3 linked regions of the Saccharomyces cerevisiae S288C genome follow. The protein of the gene in region 1 purifies or fractionates together with the protein of each later gene. This does not show direct contact. Each region holds a gene or a part of one and is shown in the gene's direction. Other genes may lie near its edges.

Region 1 (10,076 bases):
TAGAGCTATCATTTATAGTGACACTCCTACCCGAAATACTTAATGACCTGGTAGATAGCAATAACAATTTGAACCTGATGATGTTGAAGCATCCATACACGATGTCAAATCTCCTTTATTTTCTTCGCAAATTTCGACCTGATACGTCACAGATAGTTATGCCTAAAGATTTTTATTTCTCAAGTTATACATGTCTCTTGCATTGTGTTATTCAGATTGATAAATCATCATTTTACCATTTCAAAAACGTTTCTAAGTCGCAACTGTTACAGGACTTCAAAATCTGCATAATGAACTTAATATATTCCAATACTCTAAAGCAGATAATCTGGGAGAAAGAAGAATACGAGATGTTTTCTGAGTCACTGATGGCGCATCAGGAAGTTTTATTTGCACATGGAGCATGTGATAATGAGACCGTTGGCTTATTGTTAATATTTTTTGCCAACAGATTACGTGATTGTGGATACAACAAAGCAGTCTTCAATTGTATGAAAGTGATCATTAAGAACAAGGAAAGGAAACTAAAGGAGGTGGCGTGTTTTTTTGACCCAGCGAATAAAAGTGAAGTACTCGAAGGTTTAAGTAATATCCTCTCATGCAATAACTCTGAAACAATGAACCTCATAACTGAACAATACCCATTTTTTTTCAACAATACACAACAGGTACGGTTCATAAACATTGTCACCAATATCTTGTTTAAGAACAACAATTTTTCTCCAATAAGCGTTAGACAGATCAAAAACCAAGTTTACGAATGGAAAAATGCAAGATCAGAATACGTCACCCAAAACAATAAAAAGTGCCTTATTTTATTTAGAAAAGACAACACATCCTTAGATTTTAAAATCAAAAAGTCCATATCAAGATACACTTACAACCTCAAAACGGATAGAGAAGAAAATGCAGTTTTCTATCGAAATAATTTAAATCTTTTGATTTTTCATCTGAAACATACACTGGAGATACAATCAAATCCAAATTCGTCCTGCAAGTGGTCATCGGACTTTGCAGAAGATTTTGATGGGATGAAACGGAGGCTTTTGCCTGCTTGGGAACCAAAATATGAACCACTCATTAACGAGGAAGATGCTAATCAAGATACTATAACAGGTGGTAACAGACAAAGGAGAGAAAGTGGAAGCATTTTATCCTACGAATTTATCGAACATATGGAGACTCTTGAGTCGGAGCCAGTTGGAGATTTGAATGAGAATAGAAAAATTCTTAGACTTTTGAAGGATAACGATTCCATTGCAACTATTTGGAATTGCAGTTTGATTATTGGATTAGAAATTAAGGAGGGGATTTTAATTCATGGCAGTAATTACCTTTACTTTGTAAGTGATTACTATTTTAGTTTAGAGGATAAAAAGATTCTAAAATTATCAGAAGTATCGCAAGAATCACGGGATATGACGGTTAGCTTAATTAACGGCCCTGATGTTAAAAGGGTATCAACTTTCCTAAAGCACGAAGTCTTTGTTTGGAAACTTCTCGATATCACTTTCGTTACCAAACGACCCTTTCTACTTCGGGATGTCGCCATCGAATTATTGTTCAAAGAGAGAGTTAGCGCTTTTTTTAGTTTTTACAACAAAAGAGTGAGAGATGACGTTTTACGGGTACTGAATAAGATCCCGAAGCACCTTCCAGCAGATCCAATTTTTTCAAGCGTTTTACAAGAAATAAACGACCGAGGAAATAGTATAGTGGCAAGAAATGGAATAGGAAAGGCAAGCATTGCTTCTAAATTCACTAGCGTCTTCTCAGCGAACAACAGCCTAATAGATGGATTTGAGATCAGCAAAAAATGGGTTAGGGGAGAGATTTCTAATTTTTATTACCTGTTGAGTATCAACATCCTAGCGGGAAGGTCATTCAACGATTTGACCCAATATCCAGTGTTTCCGTGGGTTATTGCAGATTACGAAAGTAACGTACTCGATTTAGAGAATCCTAAAACTTACCGGGACCTATCGAAACCTATGGGCGCTCAAAGTGAGAAAAGGAAATTACAGTTTATAGAGCGTTATGAAGCTTTGGCTTCCCTGGAAAATGCTGATTCCGCACCATTTCATTATGGCACGCATTATTCCTCAGCTATGATAGTATCTTCATATCTGATAAGGCTGAAGCCCTTTGTCGAATCCTTTTTGTTATTGCAAGGCGGAAGTTTTGGCCCTGCAGATCGTTTATTTAGTTCGCTTGAAAGGGCCTGGAGCTCTGCTTCTTCTGAAAATACAACGGATGTCAGGGAATTGACACCTGAATTTTTTTTTCTACCTGAATTTTTGATCAACGTTAATAGTTATGACTTTGGTACAGACCAAAGCGGTAAAAAAGTTGACGACGTCGTACTTCCACCCTGGGCAAATGGTGACCCAAAGGTTTTCATTCAAAAGAATAGAGAAGCTTTAGAAAGTCCTTATGTATCAGCACATTTACATGAATGGATTGATTTGATATTTGGTTACAAACAAAAGGGGGACATTGCTGTGAAATCTGTTAACGTATTCAACAGATTGAGTTACCCAGGCGCTGTAAATCTAGATAACATTGACGATGAAAATGAGCGCAGAGCTATCACAGGCATTATTCACAACTTTGGTCAAACGCCTTTACAAATATTTCAGGAACCTCATCCGGAAAAAATAGCCTGCAATGTTCAACAGCTAACAACAGAGGTATGGCGTAAGGTTCCAATGAAGCCAATATTTGAGAAGACAATCTTTAATTTGAATGAAAAGAACAGGTCCGTCGATTATGTTATACACGATCCTAGTTACTTCGATTCATTATACTGGAGGGGCTTCGCTTTCCCAAACTTGTTTTTCAGAACGGAAGAATCGTTAGTGTCATTGAGAATTGTGCATAAAAATTGGTTAAAAATTGGACTAGATATTTTTAAAAAGACGCATATGGCTCAGATTACATCGTTTGCGTACTGGAAGTTGGGCGAATTCATAACTGGCGATAAAAATGGGCTGATAAAAGTTTGGAAATATCGTAAAGATAAGCATTCGGTTTCAGGTAACCTTGAGAACAAAAAAACAATGTTTGGGCACCTATGCGAGCTAAAGGAGATGCGCTGTTATCACGACTACAATACGCTTTTAACCTTAGACATCAGCGGCTTAGTATATGTCTGGGACATGATTAATTTCGAACTAGTAAGGCAAATAACAAATGATGCGCAAAAGGTCGCAATATCTCAACATGCAGGGAGCATTATGGTATTGACTAAGAATAACGCCATTTCGATCTTCAATCTAAATGGACAAATATATACATCAAAGAAATTCGAACCAGCTAAAATTGTAAGCTCAATTGATTTTTTTGACTTCACTAAGTTAGACGCAGGTTACAGAAAGCATATCTATTGGAAAGAGATGGAAATACTACTAGTGGGCTTTGAAGATGGAACTATAGAAATTTACGAGCTCTTTTTGAATTTTCATAATGAATGGGCGATAAAGCTACTGAAGCAGCTCTGTACCGAAAAAGGGAAAGCCATAACTAGCATTAAGGGACAGGGGAAGACATACCTGTCCCAGAAAAGACGCAAGGATACAGCAGAGCCTCATGAGATAGAAGTGATTGCGGGAACATTAGATGGCAGATTAGCTATTTGGTACTAGGCATCACATCGTAACGCCTTTCTTTAAATGATTCAATTTTTGTAGTTTATATCTTTACTTTTGAAACTGATTTCTCATCCCATCTAGTATTGTAATTGCGTACGTATCCAATATCATTACCAACGCCGGGTATTTTTTTCTAGTATTTCTTCTCCATTTCGCCTATGGAAAACGGCAAAAGGGTAAAAGAAAAAAACAAACGATTAATTCTTCTTTGAATTATGTAAAAATCAAAACGCAACCGCAGATTTAATAGAGACCAGAAATTCGGATTACTATTGACTTTGTGCACCACCTTCAAATTTACTCATTGTTTAAGACAGGCAGTGGGAAAGAAGCCGTCATATTGCTCGAATCCTTAACAAGCAAAATATACAACCACTAAATTATTCCGAAAGGGCCTGCTTAATAATTTGCCTACTAACTTGTGCATAGAACAGCAAACAGAAACAAAGCGTAAGAAACATGGGGTATCCGCCACCTACACGAAGGCTTGGAGATAAGAAAAGGTACCATTATTCCAATAATCCTAACCGAAGGCATCCTTCCGCTGTTTATTCCAAGAATAGCTTTCCAAAATCAAGCAATAATGGATTTGTATCTTCTCCTACTGCCGATAATTCAACAAATCCGTCTGTAACTCCCAGTACTGCATCTGTACCTCTTCCTACAGCGGCACCTGGAAGCACGTTTGGTATCGAAGCACCCAGGCCATCTCGATATGATCCGAGCTCAGTCAGTAGGCCTTCGTCATCATCTTATTCGTCAACAAGAAAAATTGGAAGCCGTTATAACCCAGATGTGGAAAGATCCTCTTCAACCACTAGTTCAACTCCGGAAAGTATGAATACGAGCACCATAACACACACCAATACGGATATCGGAAACTCACGCTATTCTCGAAAAACCATGAGCAGATATAATCCTCAATCTACTAGTTCTACAAACGTTACCCACTTTCCCTCGGCATTATCAAACGCTCCACCGTTTTATGTTGCCAACGGGAGTTCTCGGAGACCTCGATCAATGGATGATTATAGTCCTGATGTAACGAACAAGCTCGAAACAAATAATGTTTCATCTGTTAATAATAACAGCCCTCATTCTTATTACTCTAGGAGCAACAAATGGAGATCCATTGGAACGCCTTCCAGACCACCATTTGATAATCATGTCGGCAATATGACGACCACCAGCAATACTAACTCGATCCATCAAAGGGAACCTTTTTGGAAAGCAAATAGTACTACTATTTTAAAATCAACTCATTCACAGTCATCGCCTTCCCTTCATACTAAAAAATTTCACGATGCGAATAAATTGGACAAACCAGAGGCTTCAGTTAAAGTTGAAACACCCAGTAAAGATGAGACAAAAGCCATATCGTACCATGATAACAATTTTCCACCAAGAAAATCAGTTTCTAAACCTAATGCACCTTTAGAACCCGATAATATCAAGGTTGGCGAAGAAGATGCATTGGGGAAAAAAGAAGTACATAAAAGTGGGCGTGAGATAGCAAAGGAACATCCTACTCCTGTAAAAATGAAAGAGCATGATGAACTAGAAGCTCGCGCTAAAAAAGTAAGTAAAATCAATATTGATGGAAAGCAGGACGAAATTTGGACGACGGCAAAAACAGTGGCCAGTGCAGTCGAAGTTTCCAAAGAAAGTCAAAAGGAACTAACACGCTCTGTTGAAAGGAAGGAAAGCCCAGAAATTAGAGATTATGAAAGAGCATACGATCCGAAAGCCCTGAAAACAGACGTAACAAAGTTGACAGTAGACAATGATAATAAAAGTTACGAAGAACCTCTTGAAAAAGTGGAGGGGTGTATTTTCCCATTACCAAAAGCAGAAACGAGATTATGGGAATTGAAAAACCAGAAAAGAAACAAAATAATAAGTGAACAAAAGTACTTACTGAAAAAGGCAATTAGGAATTTCTCAGAGTATCCTTTTTACGCACAGAACAAACTTATACATCAGCAGGCTACCGGACTTATCTTGACGAAAATTATATCAAAGATAAAAAAGGAAGAACATTTGAAAAAAATAAATTTAAAACATGATTATTTCGATCTCCAGAAGAAGTATGAAAAAGAATGCGAAATTTTGACTAAACTGAGTGAAAATTTAAGGAAGGAAGAAATCGAAAATAAACGTAAAGAGCACGAACTAATGGAGCAGAAAAGACGTGAAGAAGGTATCGAAACAGAAAAGGAAAAAAGCTTACGGCATCCATCCTCGTCTTCCTCATCTCGTCGCAGAAATAGGGCTGACTTCGTTGATGATGCGGAAATGGAAAATGTATTGCTACAAATCGACCCAAATTATAAACATTATCAGGCTGCTGCAACAATTCCTCCGCTAATTTTAGATCCAATCCGCAAACACTCTTACAAATTCTGTGATGTAAATAACTTGGTTACAGACAAAAAGCTTTGGGCGTCTAGAATATTGAAAGACGCCTCTGACAACTTTACTGACCATGAGCACTCTTTATTTTTGGAGGGTTATTTAATTCATCCTAAAAAATTTGGTAAAATTTCTCACTACATGGGCGGCTTAAGAAGTCCTGAAGAGTGTGTCCTACATTATTATAGAACAAAGAAAACTGTGAATTATAAACAACTTCTTATCGATAAGAACAAGAAAAGAAAAATGTCAGCCGCTGCCAAGCGCCGCAAGAGGAAGGAAAGAAGTAATGACGAGGAAGTCGAAGTTGATGAGAGTAAAGAAGAGTCAACGAACACGATAGAGAAGGAAGAAAAAAGTGAGAACAATGCCGAGGAAAATGTTCAGCCGGTTCTAGTTCAAGGTTCTGAAGTGAAAGGTGATCCATTAGGTACACCGGAAAAAGTTGAAAATATGATTGAACAGAGAGGCGAAGAGTTTGCAGGTGAATTGGAAAATGCTGAGAGGGTAAACGACTTAAAAAGGGCGCATGATGAAGTTGGAGAAGAGAGCAATAAGTCCAGTGTAATAGAAACCAACAATGGGGTACAAATAATGGATCCAAAAGGAGCTGTTCAGAATGGTTATTATCCAGAGGAGACCAAAGAACTTGACTTCAGTTTAGAGAATGCGTTACAGAGAAAGAAACACAAATCTGCACCAGAGCATAAAACAAGTTATTGGAGTGTTCGTGAATCTCAACTCTTTCCAGAATTGTTGAAGGAGTTTGGCTCTCAATGGTCTCTCATATCAGAAAAACTGGGTACCAAATCTACTACAATGGTAAGGAATTACTACCAAAGAAATGCAGCTCGCAATGGATGGAAATTACTGGTTGATGAAACCGACTTAAAGCGAGATGGGACTAGTTCAGAATCTGTACAACAATCTCAAATTTTGATACAACCAGAACGACCAAACATCAATGCCTATAGTAATATTCCTCCTCAACAAAGACCGGCTTTGGGTTATTTTGTTGGACAACCAACTCATGGGCATAATACATCTATTTCATCTATCGATGGCTCTATAAGACCATTTGGGCCTGATTTTCATCGTGATACCTTTTCTAAAATTAGTGCTCCTTTAACCACTTTACCACCACCAAGACTACCATCTATTCAGTTTCCTCGTTCAGAAATGGCAGAACCTACAGTGACAGATTTGCGTAACAGGCCCTTAGACCATATTGACACGTTGGCTGATGCAGCTTCGTCAGTAACAAATAATCAAAACTTCAGTAATGAAAGGAATGCAATTGACATTGGCCGTAAATCGACGACAATCAGCAATCTATTGAATAATTCGGATCGAAGCATGAAATCTTCTTTCCAAAGCGCTTCAAGACACGAAGCACAGCTCGAAGACACTCCCAGCATGAACAATATTGTAGTACAAGAAATAAAACCGAATATTACTACGCCAAGATCGAGTTCTATTTCTGCATTACTAAATCCTGTAAATGGGAATGGGCAATCAAACCCAGATGGAAGGCCGTTGCTGCCATTTCAGCATGCTATTTCTCAAGGCACTCCTACTTTCCCTTTACCGGCCCCTCGCACTAGTCCAATAAGTCGTGCGCCTCCAAAGTTCAATTTTTCGAATGATCCGTTGGCAGCTTTGGCTGCGGTTGCCTCCGCGCCAGATGCAATGAGCAGTTTTTTATCTAAAAAGGAAAATAATAATTGAACAAACGGCTGAGACGGGCAATACATATGCTCTACTTCTTTTCCATCCAATGGTTGGTGAAACTCTCGAGCATACATTACCTTACGTGTGTTAGTGTACTATATTATATATATATATATGTATATATATAAAGGGAGGAGTTTTTAATTATAATTGTAATTTCGTATTTTTTCTGCATTATACAGTTTTTTCCGATTTTAAACGACTTTATTTAAGTGTCGTGTAAATATGTCACATTTTATTTTTGTACGTATTCACATGTCCTGGCGTGCGGCCATTGCTGAAAATCGCAAAACCCACAGAGAAATAAACATCGCGAAAAAGTCAATGAAAAATTGGAAAATATTTTTCATTTCACTATTATCCACAAGCAATTTTGTACAAAGTGAAAAGGTTGAACTAATTATCTTCGTCTAGAAGCCATGAATTCACTCGTTACTCAATATGCTGCTCCGTTGTTCGAGCGTTATCCCCAACTTCATGACTATTTACCAACTTTGGAGCGACCATTTTTTAATATTTCGTTGTGGGAACATTTCGATGATGTCGTCACTCGTGTAACTAACGGTAGATTTGTTCCAAGCGAATTCCAATTCATTGCAGGTGAATTACCATTAAGCACTTTGCCCCCTGTGCTATACGCCATCACTGCCTATTACGTTATTATTTTTGGTGGCAGGTTTTTGTTAAGTAAGTCGAAACCATTTAAATTAAATGGCCTTTTCCAATTGCATAATTTGGTTTTAACTTCACTTTCATTGACGCTTTTATTGCTTATGGTTGAACAATTAGTGCCAATTATTGTTCAGCACGGGTTATACTTCGCTATCTGTAATATTGGTGCTTGGACTCAACCGCTCGTTACATTATATTACATGAATTACATTGTCAAGTTTATTGAATTTATAGACACCTTTTTCTTGGTGCTAAAACATAAAAAATTGACATTTTTGCATACTTATCACCATGGCGCTACTGCCTTATTATGTTACACCCAATTGATGGGCACCACATCTATTTCTTGGGTCCCTATTTCATTGAACCTTGGTGTTCACGTGGTTATGTATTGGTACTATTTCTTGGCTGCCAGAGGCATCAGGGTCTGGTGGAAGGAATGGGTTACCAGATTTCAAATTATCCAATTTGTTTTGGATATCGGTTTCATATATTTTGCTGTCTACCAAAAAGCAGTTCACTTGTATTTCCCAATTTTGCCACATTGTGGTGACTGTGTGGGTTCAACAACTGCCACCTTTGCAGGTTGTGCCATTATTTCTTCATATTTGGTACTATTTATTTCATTTTACATTAACGTTTATAAACGTAAAGGCACCAAAACCAGTAGAGTGGTAAAGCGTGCCCACGGCGGTGTTGCCGCAAAGGTTAATGAGTATGTTAACGTTGACTTGAAAAACGTTCCTACTCCATCTCCATCACCAAAACCTCAACACAGAAGAAAAAGGTAAGTGTAAAATCTTTGAAAGAATTTAAGTATTCAACTTTCGTATATTCGTTTTTTCTTAGTGGATCTATTGTTACTATTATCACTATTATTATATTGTAAAAGACCGGATGGTTTTGTTATATATTACATACACATGTTATCGTTGAAAAAAGTTTTCCGTTTCCTTTCGACAGTCATCAGATAATTTTATCCGAGTCTTTTATATGTTAAATCTTGTTGACAAATCGTCCGCTCTAACCCTAGATAACAACAATGATCTTTTTATCATTTCTGGCGTTATTTTAGCGCCTCCTCCCACTAATGTTAATTGCTTATAGTTACCTGAAGGAGCAGCGAGGATGGAGATCGTACTGTGTATACTTGTTTCTTCCGCTTCAGTATCTAGGTCTGCTATTAGCACAGTGTTCAATTTATCCATATCAATGTCCACTTCCTCTTCTTCAGAGTTATCAGAGTTTTGTAATTGGCATTCGGGGTCTAACTCCACTATCCCATAATTTGAAGCAAATGCAATATTCTTTGCGTTTATCATTAACGGTACTGACTTAGTTTGGTCGCAAATAATTTCATACGTTTCTCTTATGGTGGCACTTCTTCCTCTTGTTCTTATAGTCATTCTTAAATCGGACGCACGCTCATCTATAAATGCTCTAGGTAACTTTACGCTCTGTAAAGCGTACATCAAAGAATTCCAACACAAATCGAAGACTGGACCAGTGCGACTCAAGACTACAATTTTCGCATACAAAACGTATGACCATTTTCTTTTCATTTTCAGGTTTGTTTCATTCAGCGTATCATCTTCTAATTCATCGGGATAC
Region 2 (3,957 bases), on another chromosome or scaffold:
TCTTTTGTTTTTGTTAGGGCTTCTGTTGTTTTCTCTACCTGGGGTTTGTTGCGTAGATTGCAAATATCTAAAGGACTCTCTAATACGTTTAGAGTTCTCCTCTTCTACATGGAATATGTCGCACAAATCATCCTTAGCCTTTCTTATAACGTCCAACAACCTAGAGCATTCGTCTGCGTCTCTACATTCATACAAACTTGAATTCGAATTGCTAAACTTGAAAAGTAGCCTCTTAGTGGAAAATTCCTCTTGCGTGACAGTGACATCCTTTAAAGGATAGCACTGGCTTACTATAAAGTCATTTTGCTTATCTCTTGATTTATCGGCGATAAGTACCAAATCATTCAAAATGAAAATCTGTACCATCTGCAAGGGTTTACCAGTGGTAGTATTTAATTCCATCCAATTGGCACTATTCATTAAAATATGTCTTCCTTTCGTAGAATTGATAAACTTCTGAGCACCTTCAACGTTCTTAAACAGCTGATCCAGTTCCGTATCCCAAAATTTCTCTAATATCAAGACGCTCGATCTGTCCCTCCTCATGAGATTCCCATTTTGTCCTGCTTTCAAAGGCGGAAGTAACGCTGGACTATTAGAATGACTTTCAACATTGTTAAAATTGCCTTGTCTCTCTTGATCTATTTGATCCTGCAATTGTAACCTTTTTTCAGCTATTTTGGTGCACTGATCCAAAACCTCGTTTAAATCATTTATATTTGCTCTAACCCTTTTAAGCTCCAACATAGCAACATTTAGGTCGTTGTTTACCGTCATGATTTCGTTATATGATTTATTGATATTTAACTTTACTTCTTCTTGGACCTGTATCGATAAATCTGTTAAATTTGAGGTAAATTTATCAATAGTAATGGCACTCGCATTGCCTAGTTTATCATGAACAAAATCTTTAGCATTAAAATGCGGGTTTGCCAACATCTTTCTTAGCGACGTGCTATTATTGAAAGGATCATTACTGCCGGAAGGATTGACAGTATTTCGCATTGCTGATCTAGCAGGCACCTTATTATAGGAGCTGTCGTTCAGGGAGAGATCGGCAGTTGAAAGATTTAAACTGTTGGAAGGGCCTTTAGAGCTTACCGATTCGTTCTCAGTGGTGAAACTACTATTATTATGACTACTATCCACATTATCATTGGGAACTATCATGTTTGGCATATCAGGTAGGGGCATTGAGTAATCTAGTGTAGGTGGAGCATAATTTGTATTATGAATTGATAGTCTTCTCTGCATTGAAGTTGCTACCCTACTTCTCTCCCTTGCATTGATTGTTGGTAGCGTATAACTGGTAGCCGGATCCTTGAGATCACTATAAGGGTTCTTTTTTGTTTTTTGTTTAGGCTTAGCAGGCGATGGAGGTGTCTTTTGCTTAGCAGGAGAGCTTGCAGACTTCTTTACATGCTTCCAATTGTTTCTGGCCTTCTTCAAAGAAAACTCAACCATTTTCACAGTACAAATATTTCAACTTTCAGTCTCTTACCTGGTCTAATATGAAGGCTTTTTGTTCATTCGGCTTTGCTCAAGGTCTTACAAATATACTATTAACTGCAGTCTCTAGTCTCTTTTTCCAGTCATCTATTTTCATGGAGCGGAACTTAGCAAACGAGAAATAAACAAAAATGATTAGGAATGTATTCATGTTGAAAAGGTTATGAGATATGCAAGACCATTCGTTTTGATTTGCAATTAGTGAGAACAATTTAAACACCTTGGTGCGAAATTGAAGGTTTTTTTTTCCAAAGAAGTGTACAGCCCACACTAACAACTGCTAACTCAGATAAAAATAACAGAAACAAAAAAAAGGTAGGGAAGGCCCATCACACGGAAAATGAGTATAACAAGTGAAGAACTAAACTACTTGATATGGAGGTATTGTCAAGAGATGGGACACGAGGTGAGTGCATTAGCATTGCAGGATGAAACAAGAGTATTGGAATTTGATGAGAAGTATAAAGAACACATTCCTTTGGGTACACTGGTGAATCTAGTACAAAGGGGAATCTTGTATACAGAAAGTGAGTTAATGGTTGATAGTAAAGGTGATATCAGCGCTTTAAATGAACATCATCTTTCTGAAGATTTCAATTTGGTTCAGGCGCTGCAAATAGATAAAGAAAAATTTCCTGAGATCTCTTCTGAAGGAAGGTTCACTTTGGAAACCAATTCCGAGAGTAATAAAGCAGGTGAAGATGGCGCTAGTACTGTTGAAAGAGAAACCCAAGAGGACGATACTAATTCTATTGACAGTAGTGATGACCTAGACGGATTTGTCAAAATACTGAAGGAGATAGTAAAATTAGATAATATTGTTTCCTCCACTTGGAATCCATTGGATGAATCTATACTCGCATACGGTGAAAAAAATTCTGTTGCAAGACTAGCGAGGATAGTAGAAACCGATCAAGAAGGGAAAAAATACTGGAAACTCACGATAATAGCGGAGTTGAGACATCCTTTTGCTCTGAGTGCAAGTAGTGGTAAAACGACGAATCAAGTCACATGTCTTGCTTGGTCACACGATGGTAATTCAATTGTCACGGGTGTAGAAAATGGTGAGCTAAGACTATGGAATAAGACGGGGGCACTTCTGAATGTTTTAAATTTTCATAGAGCACCTATAGTATCCGTTAAATGGAACAAAGATGGAACACATATCATATCCATGGACGTGGAAAATGTCACTATACTCTGGAATGTTATAAGCGGGACCGTCATGCAGCACTTTGAATTAAAAGAAACCGGTGGCTCATCCATCAACGCAGAGAACCATAGTGGCGATGGTTCACTTGGGGTTGACGTTGAATGGGTAGACGATGACAAATTTGTCATTCCTGGCCCTAAAGGTGCTATATTTGTATACCAAATTACAGAAAAAACGCCCACTGGTAAACTTATTGGACACCATGGACCTATCAGCGTTTTGGAGTTCAATGACACCAATAAACTTCTACTTAGTGCCTCAGACGATGGTACTCTAAGAATATGGCATGGCGGTAACGGCAATTCTCAGAATTGCTTCTACGGACACTCACAAAGCATAGTATCGGCATCATGGGTCGGTGATGATAAGGTAATATCCTGCTCGATGGATGGCTCCGTTCGCCTATGGTCGCTGAAGCAGAATACGCTATTGGCTCTATCAATCGTGGATGGTGTCCCAATTTTTGCTGGAAGAATATCACAAGATGGACAGAAGTACGCAGTTGCTTTCATGGATGGGCAGGTAAACGTCTACGATTTAAAAAAACTGAACAGCAAGTCACGAAGTCTTTATGGTAACCGTGATGGGATTTTGAATCCATTACCAATTCCCCTCTACGCTAGCTACCAAAGCAGCCAAGACAATGATTATATATTTGATCTGTCATGGAACTGTGCGGGAAACAAGATTTCTGTAGCATACTCGCTTCAAGAAGGTTCAGTTGTAGCCATATAATAACTAGGTACAGTACATAAACAGATGAATTTTATCATTCTTATTGTTATTTCTTTGTTTACAAAAGGTGAAAAGTGAAAAATTTCGCAATGGAAAACGTCGCGGGCCGCCTTTGAGTGACGTTGTGCAGGAATCTCGAAGAGTCATCACTTTGAAGATAACGGCCGCTCGCGATGAGAGAAGACAATGAGCATTGCTTTTTTATAATTTTTTATACCTTGTGTTAAAATAAGTTTCTTTAATTAGTTTTCACCTCTTGGATGATACAACTGTAATTGATAAATAGGGGTAGCCATAAAGAACAGAAAAAAGCGGCGCAATAATTTCGTGTATTACAATTACAGTTAGTCATGAGTGAAGAATTTCCTACGCCGCAGCTTTTGGATGAATTGGAAGATCAACAGAAAGTTACCACGCCGAATGAGAAGAGAGAGTTAAGTTCTAATCGTGTGTTGAAGGATATTTTTGCGGGTACCATCGGTGGTATTGCACAAGTTCTT
Region 3 (4,416 bases), on another chromosome or scaffold:
GTTTTTGACAAACATACGGCGCAGAGAATCTTGGAAAGGATCCACGGTCATTTGGTCATTTTCCCAACCGAATGGTTAGCTAAAGAAGTTGAGAGTAGAAATTGGATTTTTAACTCGGATAGACTTTCTCCAATGGAAATCTACAATTAAGGGAATATAAAAACGACCAGGAACACACCATTACCTGTATTTTCCTTTTATCTGTTATAAGCATTCGACGCTGATACATAAACAGTTTTCATTATGCATTCTTTTGGTCCATAGTGTCATTATTGCTCTTATTACTCATTGCATTTTTATACTTCAAATATATATAATAATAATATCATTATGTAATTTATGTGCTTTATCTTAAAGAACCAAATTTTTTCTATTTCCGTGTTCAATTGCTTAATAATTGTAAAAGCTTAATTTCTTGGATAAGTCGATGCCAAATAAACTGATTAAATAGATTATCGATAATCCTAATGTTGGTAAAAGTATAAAGTTCAAATTTTTCAAGAATGGCAACTGGTTGTATCCATAAAAGGTTAAAATAAAGTAATGGCCAATAGCAAAACAATATAACGAATTACCAATGAGTAAGGAAATCCAGTTTTGTAAATTAATTATGGGCAGTAGTAAAAACTGAATGAAGTATAGGCACAGTAGGATGATTAAAAATGAATTACAATGAACGTCGAAACAATAAGCCCACTCTACCACACTATTTTGGCTCGATTTGAATTTAAAATGTGACCTATTCAACAAAAGGTAAAAAATAGTTGCCATAATAAATCCAAATATGAAAAAATCTAAAATCACCATCATTACCAAACTTTTGAAAAAATGACCTATAATGCTCAAGGCCCCCATATCACTGTCGTTGTTGAAACCTGAATTATAAATCGACCAAATAATAGAACTGAGTGAAATTAAGGCTATTTGGAAGATGAAAAAGGAAGGATCATCTCTCGCCCACTGATTTTTCGTCTGTCGCTGATAATATATTGATCTATAAGCTTTTCTTGGATGGAAAATCAAATGGAACATTTCCCAGCTGGCTGTCTCGAGATCTAAATTCTTTGGCGTTTTGAAAAGCCTCCTGATTACCATCGGCACAGATTGCTGACCGTAGCCTTGTCTTGCATCGTTTTCATTACCATTATTACGCCTCCTCTGGCCTTGCGGGCCTGCTGGCAAGTCGTTGGAATAAGTCGGCAAATATGACATTGATAAATCCGTTGACTAAGTAGTGGCAATCGAAAAATTATAGTGCAAATCTGTTTCTTTCTGGCTTTTTGCAGTTATTTCAACAAAATTTAAACCTGTTAAGTTTAATATTCTAGTAAGGTCTATTGGTAATTATTTAACCGTTGGAAGTGATCGTTGTATGAAATTATCATTCTAGATTACAGGTAGTCGATACCTTTTATTATAATACTTTTATAGCATGGTATATTATTCGTAAAAAAACATTAAAGACATGAAACTAGTCCTTTGTTTCCCTGGAAATTGTTCAACCAACTCATTCATCTTACTATGTCATGATAGATGCATATCATTATCAACGACATGCTATATACAGAAAGTAGTAATAAAGGACCTTTCTAGTAAACATGATTTAAAGCGTATATACAACAGTTTTAGATCGTACTTCACAAAATACGAGAACTGAATCATGTCAGTACCTAATTCCAAAGAGCAGTCGCTCCTAGATGATGCATCCACATTGTTATTGTTTTCAAAAGGGAAAAAAAGAGCTGAAGAAGCTTCAAAAATAGGCTCTAAAACAGATACTATTGAGCATGATGAGTCTCATGAGAGAGAAAAAAAAGGAGCAATAGAAATGGCAGCAGCAGCACTGGCTACAGCATCCACAGTTTCTTTACCTTTAAAGAAAGCTACTGAGCAATCGGCGGCAGAAGCAGCAACATCCACGGCAGCAAAAGAAGAGACCGAAAATCAACCTCAAAAGCAACCTCAATGGCCGGTACCTGATTCGTATATAGTCGATCCTGACGCGGGTATAATTACATGTATATGTGATTTAAATGATGATGATGGATTCACTATCCAATGTGACCACTGCAACAGATGGCAGCATGCTATTTGCTATGGCATCAAAGATATTGGGATGGCACCTGATGATTACCTTTGCAACTCATGTGATCCAAGAGAGGTAGACATTAACTTGGCTAGGAAAATACAGCAGGAACGCATAAACGTAAAAACAGTAGAACCTTCTTCATCAAACAATAGTGCTAGTAATAAGAATAACGGTCGGGACAGAGCATCGAGTACAACTATTAGTGACGTTGGCGATAGCTTTTCAACGGATCAGGACAATACTAACCACAGGGACAAAAGAAGGAAAAGAAACCCATCAAATAATAGTATAGACTCCAAAAACGAAAGCGCTTCTGTCAATTCTTCCGATGGATTGACTTCTATGCCCAAGAAAAAAGAGCATTTCCTGAGTGCAAAAGACGCATATGGTGCAATATACTTGCCCTTGAAAGACAATGTGTTTAAAAGTGATCTGATCGAACCGTTCTTAAATAAACATATGGATGATAATTGGGTCATACAATATCCTCATAAGACCTTTAAATCTGTGTCAATTGAAGTCAAACCGTATGCTGACATTGCATATTCCAGGACTTACCCAGGCTTCACGAAATTAGGAGTTTATCTCAAAAAGGACTGCATAAAAGGTGATTTCATTCAAGAAATTTTAGGCGAATTGGACTTCTATAAAAATTATCTCACTGACCCACGAAACCATTACAGGATATGGGGTACAGCTAAAAGAAGGGTCATTTTCCATTCCCATTGGCCGATATATATAGATGCACGCTTATCAGGCAATTCAACTAGGTATTTGAGAAGAAGTTGCCAGCCGAATGTTGAATTAGTAACTATAAAACTGCAAGATACAGACAATAGGAATGACAAAAGCAGTGGAAGAAAATCAAGTAGAATAAAATTTGTTTTAAGAGCTTTGAGAGATATTTCAGAGGATGAGGAGTTATACATCAAATGGCAGTGGGATTCAAAACATCCTATATTAAAATTAATAAAGGGCATGACAATAGACTCTTTAGATGACCTTGAAAGGTATGGGCTGATAAATTCGGTAGAAACAATTTTGAGTAACGGCGAATGCGGCTGTGGAAATAATTCTAAAGATTGTTATTTATTGAAAGTGAAGAGATACGCGCAAAGTCTTTATAAATCTGTGAAATCCAGAGGAAAAATGAACAACAGATATAAATTAAATGAAATTCTCAACCAATATAATTGCAAAAAGAGACGTGAGCCACCAATTTTGCATAGGCTAGAAGAAAAGGCTCAAAATACTATAGAAAGAGCTCCAATACTTTTGAATAATTTTTATCGACAAAAATTCCTTAATCGAAATAATGGTCCAAAAATTCCTCAAAAGAATACTATTGATAGTACAAATAATCCTGATGATATTGCAAAACCCTTCAAATTCGCCTTATTTGCACAACATTCTTCTAATATTTCTGTTCCCAAAAAAAATGAAACTTCAGAAAAACCTTTAATAATTACGAAGAGCACAGATTATGACGAATCACACATTACCAATATTGAAGAATTACCAATTCCAGTTCTTTTACCAATAAACAAGACGTCAAGGCAAACTGCAAACGATGTCGAAGAGAGTCAATCAAAGAATGAACATAAATTAAGTAGAACCCCTTCTCTTTCAAATTTCAATAAAGAACTGTCAAAGGAAGCACAACACAGTCAAGCAAAAACAAAAGAAATCATGACAGAAGCTTCGGTTAATTCAAGGCGAGAATCCACTCCAGAAAGTATAATGCACTTATCAGATTTTTCGTCCTCACAACTGCATTCGAAAAAGAAATTAAGCTTTGCGGATTACAGAAAAAAACTACTGAAATAAACATGGACATTTCCTTCTTACACCTATATAAACTTAAGTATATTCAAAAGTGAATATTCATTATTCTTTATAAGATTATATTCGGTTAATATTAAATTACAAGCCTCAATTAAAAAAGTATATATTTGATGAATTATAAATGACCTATATGCGAAAAAAGTGGAGCAATAAAAAATTGATGAATAAAGGGTGAAAATGTGACAATGTGAATGTTTTAGTTCAGAAAGCTTCTTTACTTCTTGACCTATATAATGAGTAGCCCTCCTCATTGCCCATATCATTCTCTTCATCTTCATCTTCGGAGTCTTCTTCATCGCTTGATATCTCGTTATCCATTCGATCATCAACACTGGTGCCTAGTGCCACTTCTTCGTCTTCGCCATTATTATCCAATGCGGATAAAGAATTGAAAAGAATAGTCTTCGGTCTTGGTGGTGTTTTCGGGGTAGTATACAATGGATTACCAGGTCTGGCATATGACTGGCCATCATCATTAGGAT

Evidence for each region.
Region 2: the proteins of SNT1 (region 1) and SIF2 purify together in Saccharomyces cerevisiae (affinity purification with mass spectrometry; 7 studies listed by BioGRID, with this or other methods). This does not show direct contact.
Region 3: the proteins of SNT1 (region 1) and SET3 purify together in Saccharomyces cerevisiae (affinity purification with mass spectrometry; 6 studies listed by BioGRID, with this or other methods). This does not show direct contact.

Annotation. Positions count from the first base shown.
Region 1 is NC_001135.5:182,380-192,455, forward strand, and holds SNT1 (Snt1p), read left to right. Parts: upstream 1-4,109; coding exon 4,110-7,790; downstream 7,791-10,076. Other genes in the region: BPH1 (Bph1p), read left to right, coding at 1-3,644; fatty acid elongase ELO2, read left to right, coding at 8,213-9,256; exosome non-catalytic core subunit RRP43, read right to left, coding at 9,455-10,076. UniProt on the Saccharomyces cerevisiae protein: Part of the Set3C complex, which is required to repress early/middle sporulation genes during meiosis.
Region 2 is NC_001134.8:445,860-449,816, forward strand, and holds SIF2 (Sif2p), read left to right. Parts: upstream 1-1,849; coding exon 1,850-3,457; downstream 3,458-3,957. Other genes in the region: exocyst subunit EXO84, read right to left, coding at 1-1,464; YMC2 (organic acid transporter), read left to right, coding at 3,808-3,957. UniProt on the Saccharomyces cerevisiae protein: Antagonizes telomeric silencing in yeast. May recruit SIR4 to non-telomeric sites or repression.
Region 3 is NC_001143.9:497,078-501,493, reverse strand, and holds SET3 (histone-binding protein SET3), read left to right. Parts: upstream 1-1,660; coding exon 1,661-3,916; downstream 3,917-4,416. Other genes in the region: SPO14 (phospholipase D), read left to right, coding at 1-150; GMH1 (Gmh1p), read right to left, coding at 391-1,212; SAP190 (Sap190p), read right to left, coding at 4,136-4,416.